Regions from separate parts of the Mus musculus genome. Here regions 1, 2 and 3 are each reported to be linked to region 4. Evidence: microRNA targets listed by miRTarBase, many of them from high-throughput screens and not tested one by one. Region 4 holds a microRNA gene; each other region holds the end of a gene's coding sequence.

Region 1 (8,641 bases), not on the chromosome of region 4:
TTATTGCTTCTGACTACACTGGTGTTTACCAAACAAGCTTAGCATGGGGCTTGAGAAACCTGCAGCTGCTGTCCAGGGTCTGAAGAAACAGGGTCTGAGCAGAAAGAGCTCATTATAGGCCTCTTCACAGAGGCCATGTGTAATGGAAGGCTGCCTTAAGTAAGCTAACAAGAGCCACTTTGTCCTACTCTGAGAAGAGACTTAGGGGTCAGCCTGGCCTCTTAGAAGAGGCTTTTGGTTTTCTTTGAATCTCAGATATGAACCCAGACCTTCGGACTGCTACCCTCCCAGCCCTCAGCCTGGAGTAACTGGAACGCTTAGCTGTTCTGTTCAAGTTTCAAGTTACCCTTAACACTTTCTACTTCCTCTTCCCAGAAGCATCCTGTCAGCACACACGCCATACCATCCTGCTTCTTCCGAGTCTGCTTTCTTACTTGGCTCCAAGTCTAACTGCAGGAGTGACTAAGGCTTGCCCCTACCTACCACCAAGAGGGCCCTATGTCAGCACCCTGCCAAAGGAAGTTTGACCTAGTTACAGAAATATAGGCTGACATTTTTTTTTTTTTTTTTTTTTTTTTTTTTTTTGGATTTTCGAGACAGGGTTTCTCTGTATAGCCCTGGCTGTCCTGGAACTCACTTTGTAGACCAGGCTGGCCTCGAACTCAGAAATCCGCCTACCTCTGCCTCTCGAGTGCTGGGATTAAAGGCGTGCGCCACCACGCCCAGCTTTAGGCTGACATTTTGTTCTACACTCTCAACTGCTTATGAGTCATGTGACTGGGACTCGTGGGAATTACACCAAATGAAGCCCCCCATATGTATGTGTAAAATTAAAGCGCACACACACCAAAAACAGGAAAAGGGCTGGAGAGATGGCTCAAGAGGTTAAGAACATTGTCTGCCCTTCCAGGGGTCCTGAGTTCAGTTCTCAGCTACCACATGGTGGCTCACAACCATCTACAGTGAGATCTGGTGCCTCTTCTGGTCTGCGGGCATAATGCAGGCAGAACACTACATAATAAATCCTAAGAAAAAGAAACCTGTACCCTTTCTAGCCTTTCTTCCCTGACCTGTTTAAAGTTTCAAATAAAAAGCCCCAGAATTCCACTGACACACGGAAAGACTGAACAGAGCTTGGCTCAGCCACCCTGACAACATTCCTCTGCCACCAGCTCCAAGAAATTGTTAGGCCAGCACTTTTGCCTCACTATGGCTTTCTAAGGGGCTGACCTCAACACACCCAGCCAGTTCCTTCCCTTCCTGCCCCATCGAGTCCACATTGTGAGCAGAACAAAGACTTCCCCTTTCTTATCCTCTGCTGGCAGATGTTGCTCTCAGGCAGGAAGCTCGGGAGCATTTAACCCAGCTGATAAAGCACAGGAAGCAAGCAGCTTTTGTATTTAACAAAAGAAAACAGCCAGCCTTTTTGAGTACTCTAATCCTAGCGCCTCCCTCTTTAGACATGCATAGTCTATTCTCTAATCGTTCCTCCAGTTTTGGTCATTGATCCTTCTTACCCCCCAAAGTCCACAAACTTCCCCAATACATTACATAAGCTCTGGAACCTTTGGAACATCACTATTTAAAGGGAGAAGATTAAATGAACTGGGAGTGTGGCTCAGTTTCTAGAATGTTTTGCCTAACTTACATAAAACTTTGGCTCCAGTTCCCAGAACTTCATAAACTACTGTAGTGTGCATGCTGTGGTATATACCTGTATCAAAAGTTCAAGGTCGGGGCTGGAGAAATGGTTCAGTGGGTAAGGGCACTGTCTGCTCTTCCAGAGGTCCTGAGTTCAAATCCCAGCATCCACATGGTGGCTCACAACCATCTGTAACGAGATCTGATGCCCTCCTCTGGTGTGTCTGAAGACAACTATAGTGTACTTACATATAATAAATAAATCTTTTTTTAAAAAAAAAGTTCAAGGTCATGTTCAAGTAGAAAGGTTAGAGGTCAGCCTGAGCTACATGAGACCCTGCTAGGGTAGGGAGGAGTCACTGTGAAACTTACAGACCTATGTGAGCAAAATGCTATACCTTTTTATAATTTGACCATTAGTTTTAAAGGATGTCCTTGAGAGGATTGCAAAGCAGTCTGGTGAGCTGGAGAGCCGTGCAGATCATCTTTATGACTCTATCTTAGCCTCTTTGGACATGTTGGCTGGCTGCACCCTCATCCCTGACAACAGGCCAACAGCAGCAGAACACCCACATGAAGGGCTTTAACACAGTAAGTAGAGAAACCCAAGAAGAGGACTTACTGTCCAACCACTGTGCTAACAAGGGCACAAGGCTGTCCCAGTAAATAATTACTTCTTATATACTTGGCTGGGGTAATACTCATTGAAACAAATGTAGTATTGAAGGAAGACTGAAGGAGTCACTACCCTGGCCAGGAAGGTGGGTCTTTCACTCTTTCCAGTGTCTTGTTAACATGTGCTTGCTGAGCTGCATATCCCACATTCCCATACGGTGTTCTCTACCTCTACTGCTACACCACACAGCAGACAGCAGCAGTAATCCTTACAGTGCTACTCTCTCCAGTGTGGGGCTGCGTTCAAGACTGTCCCTGTCCTACAGGCTCTCTTGCTCAACTCACTCAGCACCTGTCTCCAAGCATCTCTGACAACACAAACGTCTACAAAAACCCAGTTACTTGCCAGATCGCTATGCTACAAAGGACCTTTGCAGATCTTCCATACCACACCATTCCCCCAAAGACTGGGGGATGACACATCTTACAGACTTAACAATCAATACTACTTGTTAAATACAACTTTTAGAAAGTCAAACTGGCAATGAGATAGGAAGAAGCCCAAGAAAAAAGCAGGGTTATCTGGTACCTATCCTGGGCAGAATCACAGGTTGTACTGATTTTTTTCCTCTTACAAAATGTTTATCAAATAAATCTCAGTGAGCAAATGCTGGAAATATGTCAAGAGCAGAGACTCCAGCAGCGGGAGGATGGTGATGCAGACCTGTAATCTCACCTAGAGGCTGAAGCATGAGAGTTCCTAGAAGCCAGCCTAAGCTACTCAACAGACCATCTTTAAAAAAATAGTAGTAGTAAAGGGGCCCTGCATTTGCATCAGTGATGTGAGTGGTGTGAGTACATGTGGTAGCACACTGCTGCCTCTGCAGCAGGCTGTAACCTTGCTCTCCTCTCATTCAGGCAGAGGTGGAGTCATTGGCGAGATGGCAGCTGGAAAGAAAACTCAAGAACTCCTTGTAAGAGCCATGGAAGTTAAGGAAGGGGAGGAAATCAACTTGAACACACGTTAAGATGCCTTTCTCGCCTCTGAAGGATCCTGAGTCACTGCCCTCATTTACTATGAATCCCTCCAAAATTAAGGCCGTTTCTATGGTGCTTCTCTACAATAATTATGTGGCTTTATAATTAGTTGATAAAATATTAAGACTTGTGGGTCTCGTGTTTAAAAACCAGCAGATAAAATGTGTTGAGGCCATTTACAGAAAGCTGCTGGAGAAAGGTTCTACGTACTTAGGATTCTCAGGCATACAGGGGGATGGGATCTAAGAGAGAAAATGTTAGTGGCCAAAACTGTAGAGTGAAATGCTCACCCTTAGTAAGTCGGGAGAACCTCTACAGAGTCCTAGGAGTTGCCACCTATAGTGGTCAGTCTCCACTTCAACCATGTCAAGAATGCTCAGGAGCTGGCCTGCCATGCTTCTGAACTGCATGCTTGTGCTAACCTCTGGGGATCTCAGGCCACAGTTCTCTTCCCCTTGGAAGACTAGTCAGAGGACTGGGCCGGGTAGAGACAGCCACATGGTCTGTGCGTACGTAAATTAAAGCAGCCATTGGTGATGAAAAGCGGGGAGTCTTTGTAGTTTGGGAGTGAACAGGAAGTTGTGCCTTGTCAGGAAGAAAAGAATTCTATGGACCTATCATAGGTCCATATGTTCAAAGCATCAGTTACAGCTTTCCAAGCAAAGTGTTTGTATGTTGGCTACCACAAATTCCACAAAGTATCAAAGGTGGGCTTTTCAGGTTTAAAAAAAAAATAGCTATTTAGATAAGCATGTACATGACTTTAATCCTAGTACTTAAAAGTAGCTCTGTGAGTTTGAGGACAGTCTGGCTTGTTTATTAGAGTCCAGGCTGCCAGGGCTTTATAAAGAAGAAGAAGAAGAAGAAGGAAAAAAAGATTCTTCAGTAAGTATGCATAAAATACAGTATTTTTACATGCCTGATGCTACACAGCATGATTTACCATAATGCTTATGGGCATGATCCATATTAAGAGTTTTGTTGTTACTGGTTTGTTTTTGGGTTTTTGAGACAAGGTTTCTCTGTGTAACAGAACCCTGGCTGTACCGGGACTCCCTCTGTAGACTAGGCTGGCCTCAAACTCAAGAGAGATCCTGTGCCTCCCCAAGTGTTGGGATTAAAGTCATGCACCAGCTCACATTAGTTTTATTCTGCCATCTCTAAGTTAAACTTATTTCTTATACTGTACATGGTACATAAAGTGCTTTCAAGAGGCTAAAACAAAACTTTTCTAGCAAATAATTTAAGTTAAATGTAAAATATCCTATAAAACCTAGAATTGGTCAAAAGCACATCTTACCTCTCATGTGGATTTAAACTGCCTTCCCACCAATATGTTAAAGGAGCCCTCAGGTATTAAAGCCATTTGTCAAGCATGAAAGTCAGGAGACTCATAGAGCTAGCCAGCTGCTCCAACTGAATGCAAAATGGGGCACTCCTCTTCTTTTGCTGTATAATTACAATTGATTCAACTGACAGTGAGCATGGTTTCCCAACACAATACTGGCCCGAACATGCTCTATGCTTCTGCTCATCCTCTTTGTAACAAGAAGATAGACTTTTTGTAACTAAAGGGTGTAACTCTGACCTTGGCTGTGAATGCCATTTAGGAATATCAATACAACTGTTGTTTTATCTTCTGGTGTGTGTTATGTTTGAGCTAAAATGTCTCAGCCTTGGATGTCACTACCATTTGCATCTGTAAATGTGGCCAGGCTAGACTCAAATAGCCTTTTTAGAATTTATAAATGGTCCCTTAAAGTTCAGAGTTCACAGTAAAGTAGCATCTTGAGACAGGGTTGTTACAGGTCTACAGTGAAGCTCTAGCACAAAACAAGATAATTCAAACAGCTTTGAAACTTAAAATGACATCGTGGTACAAGATGTGGCCAAATATGAGCCTGAGGGAACTGTCCGAAAGAGCACTGGACCTTAGGGGAGCCGTGGCCAACTGAGAGAGTGCTTTTCATTATGCACGTTTCTCTATGGCAGTCATTTTTAAAATATATCAAGGGACAGTTTTCTATTATGTGAACATATTAGAGCCCCCAAGAGTCTTGAAATATTTATACTTGAAAAATGGGTTATTTCCCACTCTAAAACAGCAATTATCAGCACATACATGAAACCAAATAGTGAAGCATGCTGAAATAGTCTGGTAAGCCCTAATCTTGCTGCCAGTGGGGAAAGAGCACTAGAATTTTAGTCTGTAAATATGTTTATATTAAAAATAAATTCATGTAATGTTTTCTGCTAACAGAATAAGCTGACAGTTTGAACAACTTTTGCTGTGTAAAATTAAAGTGCTTGGCACCATTTCATCCTATATTGGTGTTGTATCATTTAGTTATGATAGAAAACAGTTTATGAACTCTTTCTCCCTTTATATTGACAAAAAACCAACAGCTACAAAAAAATAAAAGATATTGACCCAATTCCTGGTGACTTGAGGAGTTTCCAGTTACCTTTTTATATATAAGGATGAATAGACCCAACAAGCGCATCTATAATACAAAGTAAACTATGATTTTATTGTGAAATTCTCATAGATGGAAAATTAAATTGAATATTTATTCTGTCCATTTTTCAATTTACAATAATCTTACCACTTATTTTTGTACCATGTATTTCAATTGTCTGTTTAGTGAAAAATAAACCTGTAATTTCTGGCTTATTTTTAGTTTAATATTTTATCATTAAAGACCCCATGATAAAATGTGTTATCAACAGCCATACCCTACCCTAGCCCCCAATTGAAGAATGCTTGGCTGCTCCTTAAACCAAAGGAAACAATCTCTGACCTTTGTCACCTTAAAATGCTAGTGTCTGCAAGAGACTTTGTTTCCCACAGTAAGACAAAAGCAAAGTCTAGGATTTCGAAGATCCTAGTTAACAAACTTTCACACATGCAAAATTTCACCGAAATAAATATATTATTTCTCCCATCATTCCCATCTAGCGTTCATGTTTTCATTTAATTTGGGGGGGGGGGGAGATAGAATTTCTACAATTAGGGCAATCACATTTCCTGCTTTCTATTCTAATGCTTAAACTCTCCACCAACATGATTCATACAATTGGAAAGAATAAAGTTGACACCTGGAAGTGGAGGCAGGAGGATCAGGAGTTCAAGGGCATCCTTGGTTACAAGTGAATTTGAGGCCTCTTGAGCTATATGAGACATTGTCTCAAAAAATAGGTGCAGTCTGGGACATCATTTAATCCCAGCACTTTTGAGGAAAAGGCAGGTGAATGGGGGAGGGGGAGGCAGCCTGTTGTACATACTTAAGTTCCAGGCTAGCCAGGGCTACATAGTAAGACCCTGTCTCAAAAAAGAAAGGGGAAAAAAGCCAGGCGTGGCGGCGCACACCTTCAGTCTCAGCACTCAGAGACAGAGCTAGGTGGATCCCTGAGTTCGAGGCCAGCCTGGTCTACAGAGAGAGTTCCAGGACAGCCAGGGATACACAGAGAAACCCTATCTCCAATAGCCAAAAAGAAAAAAGAAAGAAAAAGGTGTGTGCGCCATCAGACTGAGCATGAAGAAACACCAGCACTATTACCAGATCACTGCCTGGGAGGAAGCATGGGCTGCTCTCCATCTCTACCACAGATGAGGGAAAAAAGGGTTGCTGGTGAAGCCACTTCAGGTGGCCTGGGCTGGAGATGAAGCACTAGAGTTTGAGTTCCTTGAACCAATGAAGGTGGTGAAGTCTCTACACAGCACAAAAGCTTCTCTAGGTCACTCATCAGACCTATTACTAGAAAGCAAACCCTGGATGCTGTGCTATTAAGATAGGTCTACAGTGCCCTTGCTGCACACACGTGGCTGCTGAGTAGAATGCAAAGCTCTATTTCCCTTTAATCATAGGAATTAAAACAATACTTATCACCATACAGTTTGATATTACTTCCAATAAGTACAATATTTATTAAACATATCTTCAGTTTTGTTACATAGTGTGCAACAAATTACAATATTCTGCAGCCACAAATTATATGCAGAGTATGAAGAAACTATTAATCAGATAGTGTAATCTTTCCATTTATAACTCTACCAGGAAGAACTAGCAAATCAGATCTTACATATAACGTCTCACTAAACTTTATGCGTGGAAACTGACAGACACTGGTTGTGCTGTGTGATACAAAATGGCTGAACTTCATCTTCAGAAGACTAAACCCAACATCTAAACATGCCAATATAAACATCAAAACAAAATATATTCTAACCAACCACGGGAAACGATCTGGTATCAGGAAAGCAACAAGGATTACACACATTATTTTATAAACCAGCACACAAAGGTTTAAAACAGTTCTGAAAATGAAGTTAGCGGTCTTGAGTCAAGGGAATAAAAAAAAAAGTCAGTATTGACCATTTACAATCTCTGACCTTGTGGAAACGGTAAGAATCTGTTGTAGTGCAGCTACATACAGTACAATTCAGGCAATTTTGTTTTTTCACTTGGGTTCAGATTGCGAATTCATTGCTGTGAGAAAAGGACGGAGGCAGATTTTAGCAGCAGCCTCCACCTGACTGCTTGACTGGAGTGCTCTGGATTTTAACATTGGACTTCTCGGCACCACCAGCTGTAGCTCCAGGACCCATTCGCTTTTTAATCTCAGCTGCCATCGTCATGAAAGACTGTTCTACATTCGTTGCGTTCTTAGCACTGGTTTCCAAAAATGGAATTCCAAGGGAATCTGCAAATTCCTGAGAGAATAATAAGGCACAGTGAACAATGGAAAATCCTTCTGACTTAGTCTTCTGAAATGGGAATGGGGGACTAAGCTCACTGGCTTTTACAGGGTGAGGCAGTCCCCATAATTAAATTCAGTGTCAAAGTCAAACCTCATACATACCTTTGCTGTTGTGTAGTCTACTACTTTCTTTGTGGTCAGGTCACATTTGTTCCCTACCAACAACTTGTTGACATTTTCACTGGCGTAGCGATCTATCTCCTGCAGCCACTGTTTAACGTTATTGAAGGACTCCTAGGGAGAGAAGAATGGTGATGCAGTTGCTCGAGGCCACTGCTGCTCTAACTAAGGAAAGAAATCAACTAACTTGAGGTATACACCCCGTCAATGACCCCGTCAATGATAAGAAAGACTCAAAGGCCTGAAGTGAAAAGAGCTTATTTGGAAGGGGAAACAGTTGAAGTTTAATGACAGGCAAGCCCAATTTTAAATTGAAATTTTAAAATATTGTCAAGACCTAGTTTCTGAAACAGTAAAATCCTGTTAAATAAATAAAAGCTGGGTGCAGTGGCACAGCTTTAATTCCAGTACTTGGGAGACAGATACAGACTGAGCTCTTGAGCTCCAGGCCAGCCAGAACTACACT
Region 2 (7,999 bases), not on the chromosome of region 4:
TTAAATTTTGCCATTGACCACTGTGCACCACTGCTTTATACATTTGTATTAGCAACTGAGCACACCAGAACACAGTGTATAAAAAGCTCCCTGCAAGAGCATGGGACAGCCATTTTGCAAAACATTACTTCTTTTCTTATTGGGTTGCTCCCCCTCCTCTTTGTGCCTTCAAACCTGACCTTCACACTGTTCAAATGCTTGCTGCTGACCGGGGGTTGCACGCTTCTGCACTGTTTTGTTATCTTACCTGTGTTCCTAACCTTTTTTCCTCCTTCCAAAAAGCACCACAAGAAAAAGAAACGGGCCAAACGAAAGGAGAGAGAGGAAATTGAATGCATAGAAATCCAAGAGAACCCTGATCACGTCACCACAGTCTGAGGGTGGAGACTTTTTCTTTTCCAGTATTGCACAATGATGCAGGGCTAGTAAGGCTCAGACCTCAGCTGCTTGGGCTGGCCAGGGGTAAAAAGGCAGGTCAGATCAAGAGTGCATTTTTCATGACGCATCCAAGGGTCTGCTTCTTTTGATGGAAGAGATAATAAAAGGAGGTGAAGTTCTTTACAACCTTGTGCTCCATGAGAGATAATTCTCCAGACATTGATCTTAGAGCTTTTCTGAGAAATGGATGGATTGGTGTGGTCAGATGGAAGGCCGAAAGATCTAAAGATTCTTAGAAGAAATGGAGAAGAGAGAATAGGTGGTCTCCAGATAGGGGAAAGTACAAAAAGAAATGTCTAATTTGTCATGTCACTTCATGTTTTCATGAACAGATCAATCAAAGGAAACCTATGCACATGGGAAGTACACATTTAATCCTGTATAAACCAAAGGACCGGACCTCCCAATCCACTTTGTGTGTACATATAAGTATACATATACATAATATGTCTTGAGTGTGTGTTGGTGGTTGGATGAAAGAAGATGTTCATTTGCAGATAGGCTGGCCTTTCTCAAAAAGTCAAATCAACATTAGTCAAATATATAACCTCATTAGGGATGATACAAAATATATAATTGGTCACTTGAAATCAACTCAACTGTCTAAATAGCAAGAGAATTATCAACTGTGTGATAACAAGATAGACAGAAATTTGAATCCATTAAATTCTACCTATCATGTTGTTGGTCACTGAGATCCTACGTTTGGGATGACTTCACCAAAACTCCAAAAGGTATTTGAGTTAATTAGCATGTGAACAAACGTTTAGAATCTAAAGTAGTTGAGATAGCTTGTCATTAGCTTTTAACATTTCTGTGTATTTGGAAGGCCAGCATGGCTACTTTTGGATATCTCATCCACCTGAAAAAAATGAGCCCTTTAAGCACATTGTTTTTGCATGCATATGTAAGGGTACACAGTGTAAGTGAGAGATGGAAAGAAATGATGAGATACCATTTCGTAGTTAAGAGCTCTTAAGTTAAATGGTGAAAATACACTGTTGTGGCACAGGTGGCAATTAACACAGGAAAAAGAAAATGTCTGGAAAATGTAGCGAGTAAAATGAGCCATCTACCATTCACCATCTCGGCATCAAACAGCCTGTTGTTTAAGAAAAACTTGCCAACTCTACAGACTCTAATGTGTTCCTTGGAATAAGTCTGGGAGCATTAACCAAGACCATGATCACTATGATGGTGGTCACCATAACCCCTGCAGCATCATTTTGTAGCTTCTTGGAGTATCATTGTCTTCATTAACTAGAAAGTAATCTCCTATGGCAAGCACAGCTCTCTACTGGTGCCATATTAACTGTGTGTAATTGCACCTGGAGTCCTTACATTAAAAAAAGAAAGAAAGAAAGAAAAAGTATTGAGGTAAATGTTTTGGGTTTTTTTGGTTTTGTTTGTTTGTTCGTTTGTTTGTTTGAGTTAGTGTTGAAAACTATGCCCCAGGCAAGTACTCAGTCTGCTGGGTGCGTTCAAGGACTAAGGCTGCTATTCATGTTGGAGAACCTTACTAGAAAATTCCTTTTCCATGCCAAATAAGGAACCTAAGGGATGATTCATTTCTGGGTAAAATAAAACAAATGCCTAATGATTACACATCCTGCTAAGAAGCTCTTTTTCCTGAGGAACATTTACATTTCCTACCAATTTGGGTTGTAGAATTTAAATGCATTAACAATACTATTGGCTTTAAAAAACAAAACACAACTAAAACTCTTAGAAAATTCCATTCCTTTTAAGTTTTAGGAAATAATGCTGATAGACAGTACTGCTCTTCTAAATGATGCAAATTTTTAAATGGACATCATTTAAATGAAACTTCAGTTTATTGAATGACATTTGTTCTATTCTACTTTAAAACTGCTGTGTTTCAATGTCTCCCCTGATGTGGATACAATAGCTATAGAATTAAGGAGGGACCATAACTTCCCATAACCGCACTTGATATTTTCACTGTATCTGTAAAGCCATGTCACAGGTAACGCCAGCCTTTCATTGCAAGAACTTTTGTCCTAGGGGGAACAGACATTTGGACAGTTGACCTCCAGGCCATGATCTCATATTTGAAGTCGAATTTTCTAAGCAGTTTTTGCAGTTGGAGAACAGAATTCCTCTTTCAAAGTTACTCATCGTTTATGAAAATTTCTATCACTCCCACCTGCTTGTAAAGACAGCCACTAAGAAGCTGAGGATTCCATATCACTTCATATCTGTCCATATTCAGTGAAACTCCATTGTTTCACCAATTGTTTATTTAAAGATAACTTACTTGTGTTTTATAATTGCCATACCATTTCAGATACAAAAAAAAAAAAAAAAAAAACCCAACAACAACAAAAAGATTGACAAGCTAATTGGCAAGCTTGCAAACTGCCAAATACATGGAAGTACCGCTGCATATTATGCCAAAGCACCAGTTTCAGTCTCTCTCAAAGCACTTGGATGGGGAAAGACTTGTTTATATATTAAGTATTGTCTTCAAGGATCAGACGTGTAGGACAAACAAGAATTTCTCATTGTCCAAGTGTCTAGAGAGGTGGCATTTTAGAAGAGATGTTAACTTCTCCAGAACACGTGATTCTCTCCAAGGATATGTAGCAATAATTTACTGAAATGAAACTCCGTGTTCTGGAAGAGTTAATAGGGTGCCCAAAATTCCTTGTCTTGGTCTTAGGAAGTAATGTAAGCCCAGAAGAACCTCGCAAAGCATCCGGCAAACCTTCCAACCTCACACTGAAGCAGATATTTCCAAGATTTCCTTCACTGAGTACCAAGTATTAAAATATTAGATCATGATTTGCAGGTAAACCTCCAAACTCAACCTTTTCTGATTATTGGTATGCTCCATCCTAGATTTTCAAGTTTTTGCTTGCTTTATCCATTGTGAAGTGCTGATGGCATTCAAGTTAGGACGTTATCGTCTATCAAACAGAGGGGCCTTTCAAACCCTAGAAGAAAACAGTGGTGAATCTTTTAGAACTGTGGAGTATTTTATATACTGTAGTGTGTTTTCCCCTTGATAGAAGAGATTTTTAAAAACTTGTGAACCCCATACTTTTTCTTGTTTAAATTGGACTGTGTTCCCCCCCCCCACAGAATGTGAAACAGAAAATATCATTTTATGTCCCAATCTCCCCAAGGAGGAACTCACCTAAATTATCAGTCAAGATTTGTCTAAAGGTTTCGTGGGCTGACCTACATCATGTGGAAGTCTGTTGAAAGAATATATAGCTACATGTTTTCTGGTGGGTTCTTGCAGTGACCATGAACCTCTTTGAAGGCTGAGCATGAGTACTCTATGACAGAGCTATTCTCAACTAAGTTTGTATCTCATAAATGTCTTTCTTCCAATTTATTTCCAATTGTTTTCCACAGAAATGAACTTACATGTTTTATTTTGTATTGTGAAAGAAAGAAGTGTGATACCCGTAGCTTCTACGATGCTATAATAGCCATTCTTGTATGTTGATCTTGAGTGTAAGAGCTATGTCCATTCTGTAATTATCCATTGCACTTTACCATAACAAGCTAATCCTTCTAGGCTTGCGATTCGAGCTGGGGATTAATTATTGCCATTCAGAATTGTGTGTATTTTTATATGTTGACTGTAAATATTGTTATTACAGTCAAATATTTTTATGACCAAATATTTATAAATGCATGGCACAATGCACGCATGATTACTAGTATGTAGATGATTAAAGACACTATTTTCAGGGTTATTACACTTTTTATTAAAATTCTCATATTCTCTATCATAAATGCCTCATGGGTTTTAGTTGCAAAGCCCTAAAGTCCATAAAAAACTTCATGCTAAGGGAAGCAATCAGAAAATTGCTTTCTCATAGTATCAAAAAAAAAAAAAAGCCACCTACACTAAGATGGCCATTGGGAAAACCCAGGGCTAAGCCAGGTCTCTGCTGGGTCAAGCAGAATCTGCATTAGGCAGGAATCAAATATGCCCTGGATGCCCTAAAGCAAGCCAGAAGTTACAGTACCTTAAAAATGGACCTGTGATGATTTCTCATGAGACTGTAGAATTCTATGATTTACCCACGCTTCCCAGAGAAAAGTCTCCATCCAATCAGTGTTGTTCCTGTGTGCACAGCCCTCTGCTAATTCTTTCAAAGGTGATCCCGAAAGCTTTCATTTATTTCAAAGGAATTTCAAGATAATTTTTATTCTCTTTTAAAACAATAAAATTCTTTCTTTTACGGTGACAAAAAAAATAATAATAAAGTTATAACAAAGTTCTGCAGTATCAAGTCAAAACATCTATGGCTGAATCAGTGTGCCCTTGAAGTCTCCTCATCTCAAATTTGAATACAAAACTCTGACTCATCTCTGTGGCACAGGCCCTTATGCCAACCTTTTTCCACAATGATCTGCAGATACACTGCACAGAAGGTAATTACTTTTTTTTTTTTTTTTTTTTTTTTTTTTACAGCTTTGCCTTTAATATGACTGCAGTGGTAGCGACCAAATCAAAAGCAGCAAGGCCTCTTTACTGGACATTCAGCACATAGGTGCTACATATGAATGTAGCCACAATTCAATTCCTGTATCAGATGACCAATGTTCATCAGTGTTGTAGCTAGGAGGGCAGGGGTTACTGCTCTGAGTTCCAAATGTTTTGAAGTTTTGTTAGATGACATTTGGATGAGATTGGAAGATACCAAAAGACAGATAAGGCTCCAGCTAAGAAATCAAGATATCAGCGTGTGGGTGTGTCAGGAAGAGTGACATCAATAAAGTCCTTACACACTAGACTTTATAGGTTAGAAAATAGCACAGAGAATCAATTGGTGCCTCAAAACTAGAGGTTCTACCTGCTTGCAAACCTAGATACATGTAACTATATCTATCCCACTTGGAGATCATGTTCTTGTTTGTAAGACTCAGACACTGGGTCTGCTTCTGGTTTTCTAAGCAGGACCAGATCTGTTTTGTGAGTTAAAAATAAGCTGAAGGACTCTTGAAAAGAATACTCCAGCTAAACACCCAGAAAAGTATTCATTTTCAGGATGCTATAATACAGATAATACTTTTGAACATTTTTATTTACCTAATGAGGGTCTATAATCTGCTGCTGATAGAGAAGTCATTTACTCTTCTTGTAAAGAGGAAAATGATTCAAAGAGAGAAATACATGCAAGCAGTGTTTGCACCGTCTGTAGCTATTGAATGGACCATATCTTAGCTCTTCTACATCCTTAAAGGGGTTGTTGAGATAAAATGAGCTAAGGCTGCACTGGGAACCTCTGTCACCAAGGCATTTTTAATACAATAAAGAATTTATAAATGAGATCATTGACAATTTTGCACTTTTATAAACTATAGGACTCCAGTCTCTGTTTTCTCACTGAGATGAATTTTCCCAAAGAAAGCTCTCATAGGTCACACCAATTATAAAATCCTAAAAATTAAAGAAAACCTTGATGACATGGGAGTAAGAGCAATTCACAGCCTCTTGGTGATTCTTGCTCCGTTTCTTGGGCTCCTGTTCCAGCCAAGGCGGGGTTAGCATTAGTCATTCATAATTGTGTTCCAGTTTGCTGCGTGGCTCATGGCATGCCTGATATAGTTTCCTTCCCGTTTGTTTTTGCAGTTACAAAAGCCACTACATATTCTCCAGGGCTCTTTCAAACCAGTGGAGATGTAAGAGTTTTAATGTTTGGGGAAGATTTCATTGAAGAGTTTCCTGGAAAGTATTAGGAGTGACCACCATGAATAAAAGATAAGTGGAGCTTATTATAATTGTGTCACTTTCCAGTCCGGAATAGATTTAGCTTGGATTCTTGGAAGAGATTGTTCATGGCACACTGTGAGAAACATTCCATTATCTAAATGTGAGAAGGGAGCAGAATCTCCCACTGAAAATGGAAATCGCTTTCATCACCAAAGTCGGTGGATTGCTGAGTCTTTATTTGCAGCCATACTGAGAGACCTTGAAAAAGAAAAAGAACAGCTGCTGTGGTTTTATAGGTCTTAGTACAATCTATAGCATTCATGTCTATATGGAATCAGGATATTCCCTTGTCTTTCCTCCTCTGACATAAAAGTCCGAGTGACTGAAACCATTTATCCTCCTGCTCACCAGTGTATCTGCAATGCTTATCACGTGTTCCCATTAATTATGCATATTCTTTCAGCAATAGACTTCCTGATTCTTAAGTAGAAAATCTGTCACTGTTTGAAAAGGACAGAGATATTGCTAAGCTACCTCACAGGGATATTTAAAGATGAAATGCCATACAACCTTTGTCTAAATGGTAATACACTATTATTTATTTTCCTTTCACTGGTAAAATCGTACCCAGATAGTGGTAAAATGAACACCATCGTGTGTAGTTTTATTTCTGTGTGCCACTTACTATAAATATTCACCAATGCAGCATCCCTTGGGAAAGATGTTCAGTTATCTCTTCATGGAAATCCCAGAGCATGAAAATTAGTGCAGCAAGAGTATTAGTTCAGAAACAGTACTGCCTAGGGTTAACTTAGAGACAGTGGCTCATCAGCAAGATGTGTCATCAAGTAATCTGGGACTAACTTCAATGAAAAGCCCATTTGCCCTTCTTTGCAGAGGATGGAAAGGCATCAATTACTTTACTTATGTTAAGCAGTTATGAAACAATAAAGATACTAGAATGACTTCCTAGGTCCCCCCTGACCCACCCACCCAGTGTAAAACCACTGCTTTCTCCTCCACTAAGATTCTGAACCACAGGCTGCTTCAAATCAGTGAGGAGAAGACTGCTAGAAAGGATAGCTGTCTCTTCGCAAGTCAATAAACCATGGGCGTGACCACGGAAACCGAGTGCTCCATTTCCTTTCCTTTCCCAGAAGAAATGCCCACAAGTTCCTAATCCTGGTGCAGTGAGATGCTAATCTCTATAGCCAAATGAAAAGGAAAGATAACATGTATAAAATTATAAAGTCCTGGCATCCTAACAGTACAAACCCCAATGGCAAAACACCATTGCCAGTTGCCTTTGCCATAAGGATGGCTTTTTAATATAACATTCCTTTTACATTTTGGTTCTTTGCATTCTTTTTTGTAAAAATAGCCTTATTCATCACATCCAATTTTCCAGTAAAGGATTGAAGACCTCTGTTCCAGAATTCTGCACATAGGACTTTAACTCTAAAGCTACCTTATCGACAGAAGCTTAAAGGAAAAAAAAAAAACAAGTGCCAAAAAGAGTGACTTAAGTTGTATTTCAGTGTCAAGATGTCTTCTCCCAAATAACAGACTGCCCAAATACACAGCTTAGGTCTTCCTGAGCATCAAATATTCTAATTATTAGAAATTATTAGAATTATTATTAGAAATAATATTAATAAAAGAGCTTTAAAAAGTGATTTCAGTGGTTTTAATTTTCCAAAATTTGACTCATGGGGAACATTTATATGTATTTCCATTCTCAGTAAGCAAAATAAAATAATCTGAAAATGAGTTTTTCTTGTAACTATCACAGGAATAAATAAATGTGATTCTCCTAATTGAATAGCTCTCGTACCTTTGTGGATAGAAATTGTATGTCAAATA
Region 3 (8,641 bases), not on the chromosome of region 4:
GTGTTTAGTTTTAAAGGCCCTCACAACATCAAGAGCATGAGACTAGAGAAGTGTCACCTCTGGCATGAGCTCTCTGACAAGCAGTGCTCACCCTGCCTTGGCTTCTCATCTGGCATCGACAGCTCTGCTCACTTGTGGATATTTTTATTGTTTCGATCATCTGGCCTGTCATCTAGCAGGATGCTAGTCCTCGTGCATGCCACATGCCTGCTTTCTGGGTTTCCTCACTGTTGTAACTGCCCATCTCACAGCCTGTGCTTCCTTCCCACTGCACCTTTGTCCCACACTTGCTATTCAAGGAAGGCTGTTTCCTGTGCTTTTATACTTTCCCACTTGGTTTCCTATACTGTAGGTGAATTACTCTACCTTTACACTGTATAGTAACAATCCTCTGCAGTTTTAGCAGGCACCATGTGACTGCAACAATTCATGTCTTGCCACAGCAACCAAAGAAGCATGTGAGCATCCTTATTCTGCACCTTTACCCAAGTTAGCTTTCCTCTAGCACAGACATGCTTTTAGCTAGAGACATTCCCTTTGTGGTAAAATAGATACACCCTTTGGTACCAACAGTGGATTGCAGTAGGGTTGCTTCAGGTGTGCTGCTGTGCTCTGGTGTGCTGCTTTGGCATTTAAAAGCAGGAAAACGCATGCATTTAGTCCCAGAGTTCCTTGAGTATGGTAGGACCTTCTGGCTCACAACATTAGTAACCTTTATTTACTGTGTAGTAAATGTAAAGTCTACTAATTAAGTGGGGGATAAAAACCAAAAATAAGACCATGACTCTTCTTTCCCTCTTCCCTAAAACTTGCCTCTACGAATAACCTTCAGTGTGCCCTCCAGCTGAACCGAAATCAGGCAGGACACAGACTCCTCCTTTCTTTTTCATCAAACCATAGAAATAGAAATCCTTCATCATAACCTCTATGCCTTCTCTCCCCTCTGCACCCCTGCCTCAGCTGCATTTTCCTGTTGCTTCAACCCAGGAGTGCTTCTTCTGTTGGGAAGAATGGGGAGAAGGGATGAGAATCCTTGACCAGTTAAAACCCAAGTCCTCAAGAAGTCATAACTTCATGGAGCTGAGAATTTCAGGCATTTCTGCTGCTGCCAAAACTCAGTTCTTTATTCATGGGACATAGAGAGGAGTTGAAGCCTCGACTCCTTCCAAATTTATATTTTCAAATTTATGTTTATGGTTTCAGGTGAAAACTTTTAAACAAAGCATGTAGCATCTCCTTATTTCTATTTGTTTGAAGAGCATCTAAAGAACGAATGCCACAGCATACATGCTGTCTGGAAACCCCATCTTTTCCACAGAAGCCCTGATCTCTGCCTTTGTACTATATAACTTGCCCAGTGCACAGTACTTCTTTGGCCCTGCTCTCTTCAAAGTTCCATAGCAGCCAGCCCCGTGGACCATATCACTCCCTCATCAGTATGTTGCTGGGAATAGAATACTGGCAGACAGTCCCAGTGTTAGAAAATGCCCTTCCCTTCATGCCTGCCATCACTCCATGTTGTTTAGCCTTATCTACAAGCTGTGGAAGAGAAACCATTTTCACTACCTGTTGTGCAAAAGCAAATGGATAAGTAATACTTCAAAATCTTCCTCTCCTGCATGGCTTCCCAAATATTCTCCCCATTCCGTGGCTTGCCAATCATTACCCTATGACATTTTCCCCTTTCCCCAAAGTTATATCCCAGAACCCTACTTTAATGCTAATATTGTGTTACTTATAATTCTAGGGACCAGCAGCACAAATACCGTTGGAGGAACAGTGAGTAGCCAGGCTGCCCAGGCTCAGCCTCCTGCTATGACTTCCAGTAGGAAGGGCACATTCACAGATGACCTGCACAAGTTAGTAGACAACTGGGCCCGAGATGCCATGAATCTTTCAGGCAGGAGAGGCAGCAAAGGACACATGAATTATGAGGTGAGTCTTCCCTTTTCCTAACCTGCCAGACTATACACAGACATGTCATGGACAGCCAAGGCTGGTATGCCATCCTTACCACTACCATCTTCAGTAGCCTGTGGATTCTATTATTGAGAAAACAAGGCAGCAATCATTTTGGTACCCTTTTTCTTCAACATCCTGCACTACCTGCATGTGCACATAAAACACATCTCAGATCCTACTTTTCACTCCTCCTTGTTAAGGGTAAAGCCAATAAATATGGGCGGCTTCGTTATATTTTGATAATGCTAAGATTAGAACATCTCAGCTCTACAACAGCATTATAGTATCACCCATTTTTCATCAAATTCTCATTGCTACTTTCTTGTTTTTAGGGCCCTGGAATGGCAAGGAAGTTCTCTGCTCCTGGGCAGCTGTGTGTTCCCATGACCTCAAACCTGGGTGGCTCTACCCCCATCTCTGCAGCATCTGCTACCTCTCTAGGTCACTTCACCAAATCCATGTGTCCCCCACAGCAGTATGGTTTTCCACCTGCCCCATTTGGCACTCAGTGGAGTGGAACAGGTGGTCCAGCACCGCAGCCACTTGGCCAGTTCCAACCTGTAGGAACAGCATCCTTGCAAAATTTCAACATCAGCAATTTGCAGAAGTCCATCAGCAACCCCCCAGGTTCCAATCTACGGACCACCTAGTCAGCAGCAAGGATGTTAACTGAGTAGATTTGGGGGCAGGAAATGGAATGCTGGGGGGGTGGGGGGGTGGGGAAGTAGCCTATATACTAACTACTAGTGCTGCATTTAACTGGTTATTTCTTGCCAGAAGGGAATGTTTTTAATACCATTTTGAGCCCTCAGAATGGAGAACCACCCTCCTTCTCCGTTTGTTGGAGTTAAAAAAGAAGGAATGAACAGCTTTCTGGTGGAGGGGCTGCTTGAGACTGCTTTTCTGTTTTTGTACCCCTCAGTAAGGCCTAGAACTAGAAGAGAACCTTGTTACCAGAAAGCCCCAAGAGCTCAATGTAAGCCAAACCCGATCTGTATCTGTAAGTGGGCAGAGCTCTTTAATTTTGACATGTGTCCCAAATTCCTTATTCCCTCAACAATGCACACCTTAAGACAAAGGTTCTCTCCCACTCTGATCCCTACCCCCACTTTTTCCCCCCCTTTTACAACCTAGTGAAAAATACCAGGGGACTGGGGTTGCAACCCTTTCTTACATAGGTCATTAATGCTTTAAGCAAAAGATATTAGCAGCTTTGACTGCAGCATTAGCAATTAGGGAAAACAATAACGTTCCCTGCGGACATGTAACTTTGCCATCAGTTTTGATGTGGAAACACTGTGATATATAAATGTTGTTGGACAACATTAGTTTTAAGAGAAAAATTTGAAAGGTTTAAAAGGTTCACACACACACAAAAGCTAGCTCTGTCCTTTACTTATTAAGACACTTTAACTTTTTCCTTTGTATTTCCATTGTATTAGATAAATAAATGTGAATGTAAAATTGTATAAATTACTGTACTTGAATACTTCTGTTCTCCCAGTATTGCTTGCTGGATATTTTAGTGCCTTGGACTTCTATTGCTTCTGCTGTTAGCATCAACTTACCAGACCCCAGGTCACCAAAGGGTATGTGGAAAGAAATCTTAGGTCCACATGACCCCAGCAGTGGATATGCCAAAGGGAAAATGAAAGTGTTTTTGGTTTTGGTTTGGTTTATTATTTTGTTTTGTTTTGTTTTGTTTTCTCAGTCGTTTCAATTTTGCCTAGAGCAGGTGTAAGGTGAGCACAGTGAAGTTGGCATCAGTGGTTGAAAACAAAGTTCTGTTTCAGAAAGAATGAGGAGGGTTGTGAGCTGTGTGTGAAAGATAAGGACTGAAGATGTGGGGACAAGCTTGTTTGAAGTGATGCTTGGCCAGTGAACAAACGAGATCTAGAAGAGATTAAACAAAAAGAGGGGAGTGGGCTAGATTTTAAGTTGGGAAGGATGACAGTGCCAAGTCACAGATGGAAAATGTTGCTCTAAGGAAACCTGCTCGGTTGCCCCCACCTCTTGTTGCACAAGTACCACCACACTTTCTCTGCTTTAAGTACTGTATTGTGGGAATTCAACCCACTTCTAACTTTCTAAGCATTGTAGGAAAAAGTGCTTATTTCCTTTCCTAGCTGTCCAAATGGTTGCACAGTCAGAATCTATTGTGCTGCCTGTACTTCTATATTAGAGCTAATACTCTCACATTTTCATACCCATATCCCCAAATAACAGCAACCAACCAGTATTATCTGATTTTCTGGCAATAGGGACCTAATTGGCTGTTTGGGATCTGAATATTCTGGAAAAGTGGAAAAAGTAGAACTCATTTCTTGGGTGCTTCCTCCTTCACCTTGAGTTGGGAACTGACACATTTCCAACTTTATGACACATCCCAGGAGTTGCCACACTAGCAAGGCTTCTTCCTGTAAGAGTCTTGTTCTTTTTAAGTTGGTCGAGGCCCAAAGATACAAGTGAGAGCTGAAAGTTTCAGGAGAGGGAAGTGTAATGAGCAGGGCTTTTGTTTCAGGTCGTGCTACCAAAGTGTTGACTCATTTATTCCTTTTGGGAGCGGTAAGAGGTACTGTGGGAGTGAAGCAGGTTACAGGATGACTGAGTGCTTCATACCAGCAGTAGAGGGAGCCAAATGCAGCATGTGGTGTTTGGTTTAGTCATTCTGAGTGAGGTCTGTTCCCCCTTCACAGAGGTTTACTTACTGTTGGTTTCCCCCTCCTGTGGATGAAATAACTGAAGCCTAGAGAAACGAGCTAGTGCTACTGAACTGTTTAAATTATTTTTGTGTTAATAGTACACTTTGAGTATCTTTCCACATTTAAAAAGAACTTTCCGAATTATAAATGTTTTCCTTACGTTATTTAACAATGTACACTGTTTAAAACTGAATTCAAACCTTGGGGTTTCTCAGCAGCCGTTACCTGTACATTTGCACTAACTCCGGGGGCTGCGCTTCTGTAAGATTGCGCTTTGTGCTTCAGTTTGTTACCTTTGTAGACTTATTTAATGAAACCATTCAAATAAACCAAACTTGCTTTTGTTGAACTGTGGGTTGTTCTTTCTGACAAACAAAAAACCCTTTTGTCCTCACTGGCCCTACCATTTATAACTAAAATCGTGCTGTTAAGGGTGAAAGTGGCACTTCTCCAAGGAGTCTGTTGCTAGTCCTCAGGAAAAGGCAAAGCAACAGCTGTTAGATGGCAGGGAAATTATTGCAAACTGCTGTCAGTCAACAGCGTCTGACATAGGTCTCAGTTTCTCACCAACAGATCTTGTCCCTGCTTCAAGACTAGGCACAGGGGCTAGAGGCACTTCTTTCTCACCAAGCCTGTGCCTGGTCCCAGGGACTCACCAATTCCCTCATAGCATAACCCTAAATTCAGCTTAAGTAGAATTGGAAGTTCATTGTTCCTTTGAAAAGAATCATGAAACTTTGGGTGTGGTATAGTTAAAGAACAGTTACTTCCTTAAAACACCTATTCCTAGGGAGACAGCTAAGTAGTTTCTCATCCAAATATCCTGAGTTCAATTCCCAGAAACCATATGGATCATGATTCCACCCTTCTTCTTTTGTTTTGTTTTTTCGAAACAGGGTTTCTCTGTGTAGCCAATTCCACCCTTCTTTAAGTGAGAAATTATGGCTTCCCAACAACCCATGGCTTTTCACTCAAAGGCTCTTCAGCCAGAGAAAACAATTCTTTAAAATGGTGCACTATTCATGTAGTATGATAAGAATCTTACCCTAACTATGCCTTTGCCAAGTACAGCCATGCAAGAAGCCTAAACTACCAGTAATCTCAATTGTAAGTTACACCAATTCTGCCAGTGTCAGTGTTCAAACATTACTTGATGGCTCAAAAAAACACTAACAGCAGAACTAATAGGAGCCAGGTGTGATGGTGCACACCTTTAATCCCAGCACTCAGGAGGGAGAGGACAGGTTCAAGGCAGCTTGGTCTAAAAAGCAAGTTCCAGGACTACATGAAAAAAAATCATCTCCAAAGGAAAAAACCTACTAAAAAGAATGCCAACTAATCCAGTGCCTTAAGCACCCCGTTTTAAGTGTTGGCACATCTCTGGATAAAGGGAGACTCCTCCATGGATCCGCATGTGATCCTGAACCGACAACATGACCTTGTTCATAGCAATGCTTAGTGGAAAACATTAAAAACCTGAAGCCAAAGGAAAGATGAGGTCACACATAATTTAATGTAGGTAACAGTCATGCTGGGGCTTGGTGGGCAACATCGTTAAATGAAAGGCAGCCTGCAAGGTCCTAGAATCAGCTTAGGAGTGAGTAATACTGAACAAAGTTTATCTGTTGGCCTCCTTCCCATCATGGGGTATGACAACCTTTTTAAGTAGTTAGCTTCCTCTATAGTCCTCTAAAGAGTTCAGCATGAGCCAAGGTGGAACAATTTTGTGACCAAACTGCAGTTTTCCAAAGTCCTTTTGTGACGGTCTAGTGACATCTTGAGTCTCAGGATGGATCTAGTTTCCTTTTCTTCAGGTCCTGGCTCTTCCTATGAGGTTCAGAGTCTTCTGTAGAAGATAATGGTTTAAATACAGCAGCCTTGACTTTAAACAGTAGCCCCCCCCCCACCACAACATTTTTATAGCAGACGTGCAGCTTGGTCTTCATGTGGGTCCCCTAACAACTAGAATAGGGCCTGTCTCACGGTTGCCTGCTATTGCATCCTCTTCCCCTAACTGGACTGCCTGATTAGGACTCCTAATTTGCCTAGTCCTGCTAGAAGTCCCAGGAAGAGGTGGTACCCAAGGGAGGCTTCCCTTAGGCTCTGAGAAGGAGAGGGACTGGGGGGCGGGGGGCTGTGATTGGGATGTAGTCATTTCTGGACTGTATTGGCCAACAACCCTCATTTAGACAACACACAATGAGTGACCATTGTGGTGTCATTCTCATTATGACATATCTACCTTGAGGAAGAAGTGATCTAAATGCAATCAGGACAAGTAGTGTGTCCAACATTTTGACATTATAAAACACTATCATCAAAGTTTGCAGCTCAAGAGCCATGCAATCAAGTTACAAAAATAATTAAGTTTGTAACTTTGTCAATGCAAACACTCATAACTTTCCCAAGTCTCATGTTGGACACACCACATTCTAGATCTAAACAGATCTAGCCATGATGTCCAGAGTCCAAAGCTCAAACCACTATCTTTTTTTTTTTTCCATTTTTTATTAGGTATTTAACTCATTTACATTTCCAATGCTATACCAAAAGTCCCCCATATCCACCCACCCCCACTCCCCTGCCCACCCACTCCCCCTTTTTGGCCCTGGTGTTCCCCTGTATCAAACCACTATCTTTACCTGAACTGCTCAGGTAAAGGACTCTGCCCAGCTTTTTTTTTTTTTTTTTTTTTTTTTTTTCTCCTTTTGAGACAGGATCTTAATATGTATGTATTCCTTACTGGCCCGATTGAACACAAGGCCTTACAACATACTAGGTAAGTGTTATACCATTGGTTGGACTAAATACCCAGCCCACAGACTTCATCTTTTATGAGGCATATCTATACCTCATAGAGCTCAGGCTGGCCTCTTCCACAGACAAAATACCAAAGGAAGTACACTTGGTTCTCTCTGGAGAGGTGCACTAATCCTGAGGGCCAGGATTGCAGGCATGTGCTACTGAGTCCTGTTTATCATCCCCCCACCCTTTCTTTTTAGTTTTTGTGCTGGGGTTTAGCCTGCATGTGTGTCTATATGCTGCTTGCATGCCCAGAGTCCAGAAAAGGTGTATCCAGTCTCCTTGGAACTGGTGGTGTAGACAGTTGTGTATGTGAAGCAATACATGAGTACTAGGAATTAAGTCCAGGTTCTCTACAAGAGCAGTGTGTGTACTGTTAACTGCTAAGCCATCTCTCCAGCCCCTTAAGTCAGCGTCTTAAAATGAACTAGCACCTTTCCTTTACATGTTAAAGAATTAAACCCAGAACTTTCATTCTTCCACACACCTCTGCTACCTAGAACATGCTGGTTGGTGTTGCAGGTCTGCAGGTGCCCAGGTCCAGGCTTTTCTTGTGGTTTCTGATGGCAATGGATATGTGGGACGCTGTCCTGGTTGTTGAAGGTTCGAGTGGCAGAAGTTTGGGCTGGTTCTGCTCTACACAAGGGCTTAATGATGTCCTCTAAGTCTGGAGTAAGGTCCCACATTTCAAGGTTCTCTTCAAGGTTATCTACAAAGAGAACCACGGTGTCATTCACAAAAGCTTCCATGTTTGACAACCATAATGGTGCATGTGGCAGCCAGCAGGGAGCAGATGAACAGTTTTCAGGCTAGAGAGTGAGGCCCTGGCTCAGGACTAAAAAAAAAAAAATTCCAGGCTTTGAGCTCCCTCTGGCAAATCACAAAATTTAATTCCCACAAATATCCTAAATCTTTCCATTGGTCAGAGCAATTTGGAGACCTCTTTCCATTTTTATAAAACTTTAAGGCACTAAAAATCAGGTGAAAGCCAGAGAGACGGCTCACCTGGTAACATCACTTGCCACACGGCTCAGTTATCTAAGTTCAAGACCTAGGCAAATGGTAAGAAAGAACTGACTACAAAGTTGTCCTCTGATCTATACATATGTACCAGGACATACATAAAAATCAAATGAAAGTGAGGACTTTTATGATTCCTTTAAGATGGAATCTAC
Region 4 (5,000 bases):
AAAAAGAATGAATTTATGAAATTCCTAGCCAAATGGATGGACCTGGAGGGCATCATCCTGAGTGAGGTAACCCAATCACAAAGGAACTCGCACAATATGTACTCACTGATAAGTGGATATTAGCCCAGAAACTTAGAATACCCAAGATATAAGATACAATTTGCTAAATGCATGAAACTCAAGAAGAACGAAGACCAAAGTGTGGACACTTTGCCCCTTCTTAGAATTGGGAACAAAACACCCATGGAAGGAGTTACAGAGACAAAGTTTGGAGCTGAGACGAAAGGATGGACCATCTAGAGACTGCCATATCCGGGGATACATCCCATAATCAGCTTCCAAATGCTGACACCATTGCATACACTAATAAGATTTTGCTGAAAGGACCCAGATATAGCTGTCTCTTGTGAGACTATGCCAGGGCCTAGCAACACAGAAGTGGATGCTCACAGTCACCTATTGGATGGATCACAAGGCCCCCAGTGGAGGAGCTAGAGAAAGTACCCAAGGAGCTGAAGGGATCTGCAACCCTATAGGTGGAACAACAATATGAACTAACCAGTACCCCCTAGAGCTCGTGTCTCTAGCTGCATATGTATCAGAAGATGGCCTAGTTGGCCATCAGTGGAAAGAGAGGCCCATTGGTCGTGCAAACTTTATATGCCTCAGTACAGGGGAATGCCAGGGCCAAGAAGTGGGAGTGGATGGGTGGGGGAGTGAGTGGGGGAGGGTGTGGGGGACTTTTGGGATAGCATTGGAAATGTAAATGAAATGAATACCTAATTTAAAAAAAAGAAAACAGGTTAAATAGACCTTAAAATAATTTTAAACCTTTAAATCTCCATAATACTTGGCATATAATGCTTGTGTACCATGGCTACTGACATGCAAGACACAAAAATGGTAAAATAGTGTTATGTTTTCTTAAATGCCTATTATAAAATAATTGAATGTTATAATTAAATAGTATTCTGTATGTTTGTTTCCTATATGTGTTCATTGATGAAAGGATGGGTACATGATACATCATACATTCCCTGTTTTTAAAATATCTTTTTAGTGAACTTGTAAATGTGAGATGCTGTAAAGGCCACTTATTTACTGTTTTAGCCTGTATTGACTAGTGTCCACTTACAGCCACAGCCTAACATCTTTACCACAGAGAAGCTAATTAGGTGTCAAATTAAGAAGCAAGGACCATACACATATTCACTACATATGCATAGTAAATTACCTGTATATATCACGTATGAACATCTGGTGAGCAGCAGTGAGGTGGCATGCAGACTTAGAAAGTGTCATTCCCCTGCCCCAGCAATGAACAGTTCTCCTCTGCAGGGTCAGTGTGAAGGACAACTTCCTTCCCACGCATGCTTCTCTTTCTTTATTACAGTGTGCACTGTCATTAGTGTCGTAGGTTAAATAGTTTTTTTATGCACTTAGAAAGGCTTATCCTTTGTTTAGAAGCTGTTTATCCCCTTCATTGAAACCATTCCTTAATCTGATGTTTTTGTTCTGTAATTTCTAACCCTGAACTTTGATAAGGTTAAGATACCAGAAAAGTAGTTCATGTTGGCAAAAGTACTAAGGAACACAGCCCTGATTATCAAGGTAGGTAAAAATGGCCATAGAATGTTTTCTTCTTATTTGTCCTTGTTTCATTCTTGAAGTGATAGTTCCCACAGGAGAAATACTAATTGCTTAAACATAGCCACATTAACACTTCCCCCAGACCCCTGCAGCCTTCACTTCTGCCCATAGTAGCCTATATGTCAAAGATTAACACTGTTCTACCCTTTATGACTATTGGTAACTTTCAAGAAAACTAAATGCTAATTTCAGTTTTTAATTTGTGAATGCTCTTTCCTTAACCTGTGTTTGCCACCTATAAATTTTCTTGTCGAGGATTCTGAACCAAAGCAATACAATAATCGAAAAATATAAAAGTCAATAATTTTGAGCAAAGTCAAAGCATAATTTTAACATAAATTCCTCATATTTTATTATCAGGTAATACATATTTATCCTTAGTGCTATTTTCACCCAAATCCCCTAGCATACCAGTAAACCTTAATAACTGTGGTTATAACTTTAGCAGTGCAACCGTTTCTATCCATATTATTTAAGGCTTTAGTCATTTAGTGAAACTGTCGTATATTTATGCCTTTGGCATTTAGAGAGCACAGAGCTCTTCTACAGGAAATAATGCTTTGAATTCTGGGACTGGTTTTCCTTCCATTGAATTGCTTGTCATCCAGGTATGGGTTTGATAAACTGACACAAAGGTGAAAGAAGTTCCTCTCCTATGTCATCTTATCAAATACACTGTGGACAGCACATCTTTGTGGTGAGTACAGCTGCAGTCACTCAAGGAATCCATGAAGCTTATGCTCAGTGAAACATAGCCTCAGTATTTTCAGGTGATTTTAATGAACACCTGATAAAACTGAGGTATAGTACCACAGAACTGGGAATTTCCCCAAACCTAGGAAAAATAAACAAATGCACAGGGTTATAGGATGGAAGCACCCCTTGTTCATCTTAGTGGCAGAAGAGACATTAATGAAAGAGATAATTCTTTAATTTGCTTTCATTCTGGTAAACATTGTCAAGTTACATTATAAACATACTTGAATTTTAAAATAAGAAAAATGGAATAGAATTGATTTTATATATACTTTCCTATTTTGCATAACATTAGATAGTCTGAATTTTTGCTTTTATCTGGATTCATATTTGTTTAATTTCAATTATTTTATTTGAAAATACATCCTCAGAAGTGTAGTATTTTTTAAAAACAAACAAAAAAGCCTAACAGTACACCAGAATCATTTGTATACTGTCCAGGTTCAAGAATTGTCATGTGAGAAAGATATTTTCTGAAATTTATTCTTGCACTAAAAGTATATAATTCAGGCTCAGGTCAAAAGCTGATTCTATTAATCCAAAGTAACATTGTTAAATCTTTTCAATTTTGGATGAATTTACCTGCTATATACAATATGGAAACACAACTTTGGCGATTCCTTCTATTTTTTTTTTTTTTTAAGTCTTTGCAGAGTAAATGGCATCATACAATTCCAGTACCTTCTCAGTGTGGCTGCAGGGCTGTGTGGACACGGGAGGCGTAGTACAGTGGTCCTCGGCAGAGCAGAAGGTGCTCTCCATCCTGCTAAGAACTGCAGCATCCAGGAGCTTTTCTGAACAAGGGACTTCTTTTAAATATGTCTAGTCACCTCAAAAGCTGTGTAGACCATTTCCTGCCAGTAGGATTAGAGGAAGGAAGCACCAGGCCATAGTGTTTGATGTGTGATGTACTGTAATTCTTTTCATGTGTTTGCTGGCTTTTATATGATGATCAGTGTTCTGCTACCAATTGTGACCCTGGTGTGGTCCAGGTTATTAAAGTTCAGACATCTTTAATGTATAGGTTCATTACATATCTAGCCTAGCCGCATTGTTGTAATTAAGGATTGATTTATGTTACTTACCCAACACTCATCTTCATTAAAATATTTATGTTTTATAATTGAGTAATTTTCTTAGTGACTGTGATCTTAGTGGCTAAAAGAGATGATTCTGTGCTTAGACTGCCAGTTCGTACTCTACTAGAGACTCTCACATGCTTTTCAGGCCTCCTTGGTTTACCTTCTAAACCTGTTATTTAAATGGACATTTTTCCATGAGTCTTTTATGAGTGTATATAAAGTTCAAAATGGAATATTGCTTCACAGTCTATATTAATTGCTGCTTTTATTATTATTAGAAAATACCTGAGAAGAGGCAGGTTAGGGCAAGAAACAGTGTTTGGGCTTATGATTTGAGGCTGTGTAAGCCCATCGTTGCTGATAAGCCTTAGCAGTAGGAGCAGCTCAAAGCTCTAATGGAGGAATCATGAAACTGCATGCCCAAATCTTGGCAGGCCAGGAAGCAAAGCATGGGTGTTAGGAAGAGCTCCTGGTGTGGTGGCAGGAGTCTTTGGCTATTAGTTCACACCTCTGCAAACCTGACATCAAAGAGCAGGAAATAGAACCCAGCTATAAACCCACACCAGTGACCCACTTCCTCCAGCTAGACCACACCACCCTAAAGTTCTACAGCCTCTCAAAACTATACCACCACTGGCAAGTCAAGCTTATCCACACTGTATCCGTGCCTTTGATAAAACATTGTGATAATTATATACTCATTTATTTTGAGATACCACATTAAAGAACATGAAGTGATAAACTGCCTTGGATTTAGGGTGGCTTATTTGGGGGCATGAATAAGAAAGATCATAAATTATATATAGTTTCACTGACTGAAACACTATTAATATTTAATTGTAGCTACGGACTTAATGTTGTAATATTCATGTGGGTAGATTCTCTGCAGCCAACATTAAAGATGATGTGTATCCCACTTATTAACATAAAATGTGACGTAGGTGTTTAGTTATTCAATAATAGGGTCTTAATTGTGTATGTATTGTACTCTTATCTTCTAACAAGTCTGTGTGAATGGAAAATGGCCTGAGAGCTTTAAAAGTGATACTGTTAATTTATAACTGTTCTAAATCAACAAAGGAGTACACATGGCTCTTGCTGCATATATAGCAGAGAATGGCCTTGTCATGCACTAATGGGAGGAGAGGTCCTTGGAACTCTGCAGACTTGATAGAATCCCCAGTGTAGGGGAATCGAGGGCGGGGAGGGATGATGTGATAGGATATTTCCAGGAAGGAGGGAAACCCGGAAAGGAGATAACATTTGAAATGTAAATAAGGAAAATATCCAATTTTTAAAAAAAGATAGGAAAGGAATTGTCTTTATTAAAATGTATTGCAATTTGGACTGCCTAGAATACTTTCAGTCCAGTTAATTAGGTTGTAATTTGTGTTTACAAATGCCTCCACTATATTTTTTTTTCTCAATATAGAATCTAGTTAGCCAGTTAACTTGCAACAATAAATTATTTTCAAGACTCCATATTTACAGACTCTGTCATAATCTTAAACG

Evidence for each region. The annotated mature microRNA mmu-miR-875-3p reads CCUGAAAAUACUGAGGCUAUG and lies in region 4 at 2,401-2,421, opposite strand. An mRNA with a match to its seed (bases 2 to 7 or 8) in the 3' UTR can be bound and repressed. Matches are read on the target gene's strand: a 7mer-m8 pairs with bases 2 to 8, a 7mer-A1 pairs with bases 2 to 7 and ends in A, and an 8mer does both.
Region 1: the mRNA of Cep68 is a reported target of mmu-miR-875-3p. Seed matches in the 3' UTR shown: 7mer-m8 at 4,008-4,014.
Region 2: the mRNA of Ptchd4 is a reported target of mmu-miR-875-3p. Seed matches in the 3' UTR shown: 7mer-A1 at 2,741-2,747 and 7mer-m8 at 4,158-4,164.
Region 3: the mRNA of Wnk1 is a reported target of mmu-miR-875-3p. Seed matches in the 3' UTR shown: 7mer-A1 at 3,750-3,756.

Annotation. Positions count from the first base shown.
Region 1 is chr11:20,224,015-20,232,655 of GRCm38, reverse strand. It overlaps Cep68 (centrosomal protein 68), which reads left to right. Exons shown (of 7, transcript NM_172260.3): 6 at 2,062-2,232; 7 at 3,175-5,619. The coding sequence ends at 2,228. Rab1a (RAB1A, member RAS oncogene family) reads right to left here. Exons shown (of 6, transcript NM_008996.4): 5 at 8,158-8,289; 6 at 5,800-8,008. The coding sequence ends at 7,811. Among named protein-coding and RNA genes, the nearest start is that of Gm51885, 5.3 kb to the right of the region's middle.
Region 2 is chr17:42,503,538-42,511,536 of GRCm38, forward strand. Ptchd4 (patched domain containing 4) reads left to right here. Exons shown (of 3, transcript NM_001355270.1): 3 at 1-4,204. The coding sequence ends at 378. Among named protein-coding and RNA genes, the nearest start is that of Opn5, 100 kb to the right of the region's middle.
Region 3 is chr6:119,920,341-119,928,981 of GRCm38, reverse strand. Wnk1 (WNK lysine deficient protein kinase 1) reads left to right here. Exons shown (of 28, transcript NM_001199084.1): 27 at 1,748-1,935; 28 at 2,295-5,013. The coding sequence ends at 2,612. Rad52 (RAD52 homolog, DNA repair protein) reads right to left here. Exons shown (of 12, transcript NM_001166381.1): 11 at 7,954-8,175; 12 at 6,159-6,510. The coding sequence ends at 6,449. Among named protein-coding and RNA genes, the nearest start is that of Rad52, 22 kb to the right of the region's middle.
Region 4 is chr15:35,658,582-35,663,581 of GRCm38, forward strand. Mir875 (microRNA 875) reads right to left here and starts at 2,466; the gene lies at 2,389-2,466. The region is part of intron 30 of Vps13b (vacuolar protein sorting 13B); the gene reads left to right. Mir599 (microRNA 599) reads right to left here and starts at 2,337; the gene lies at 2,250-2,337.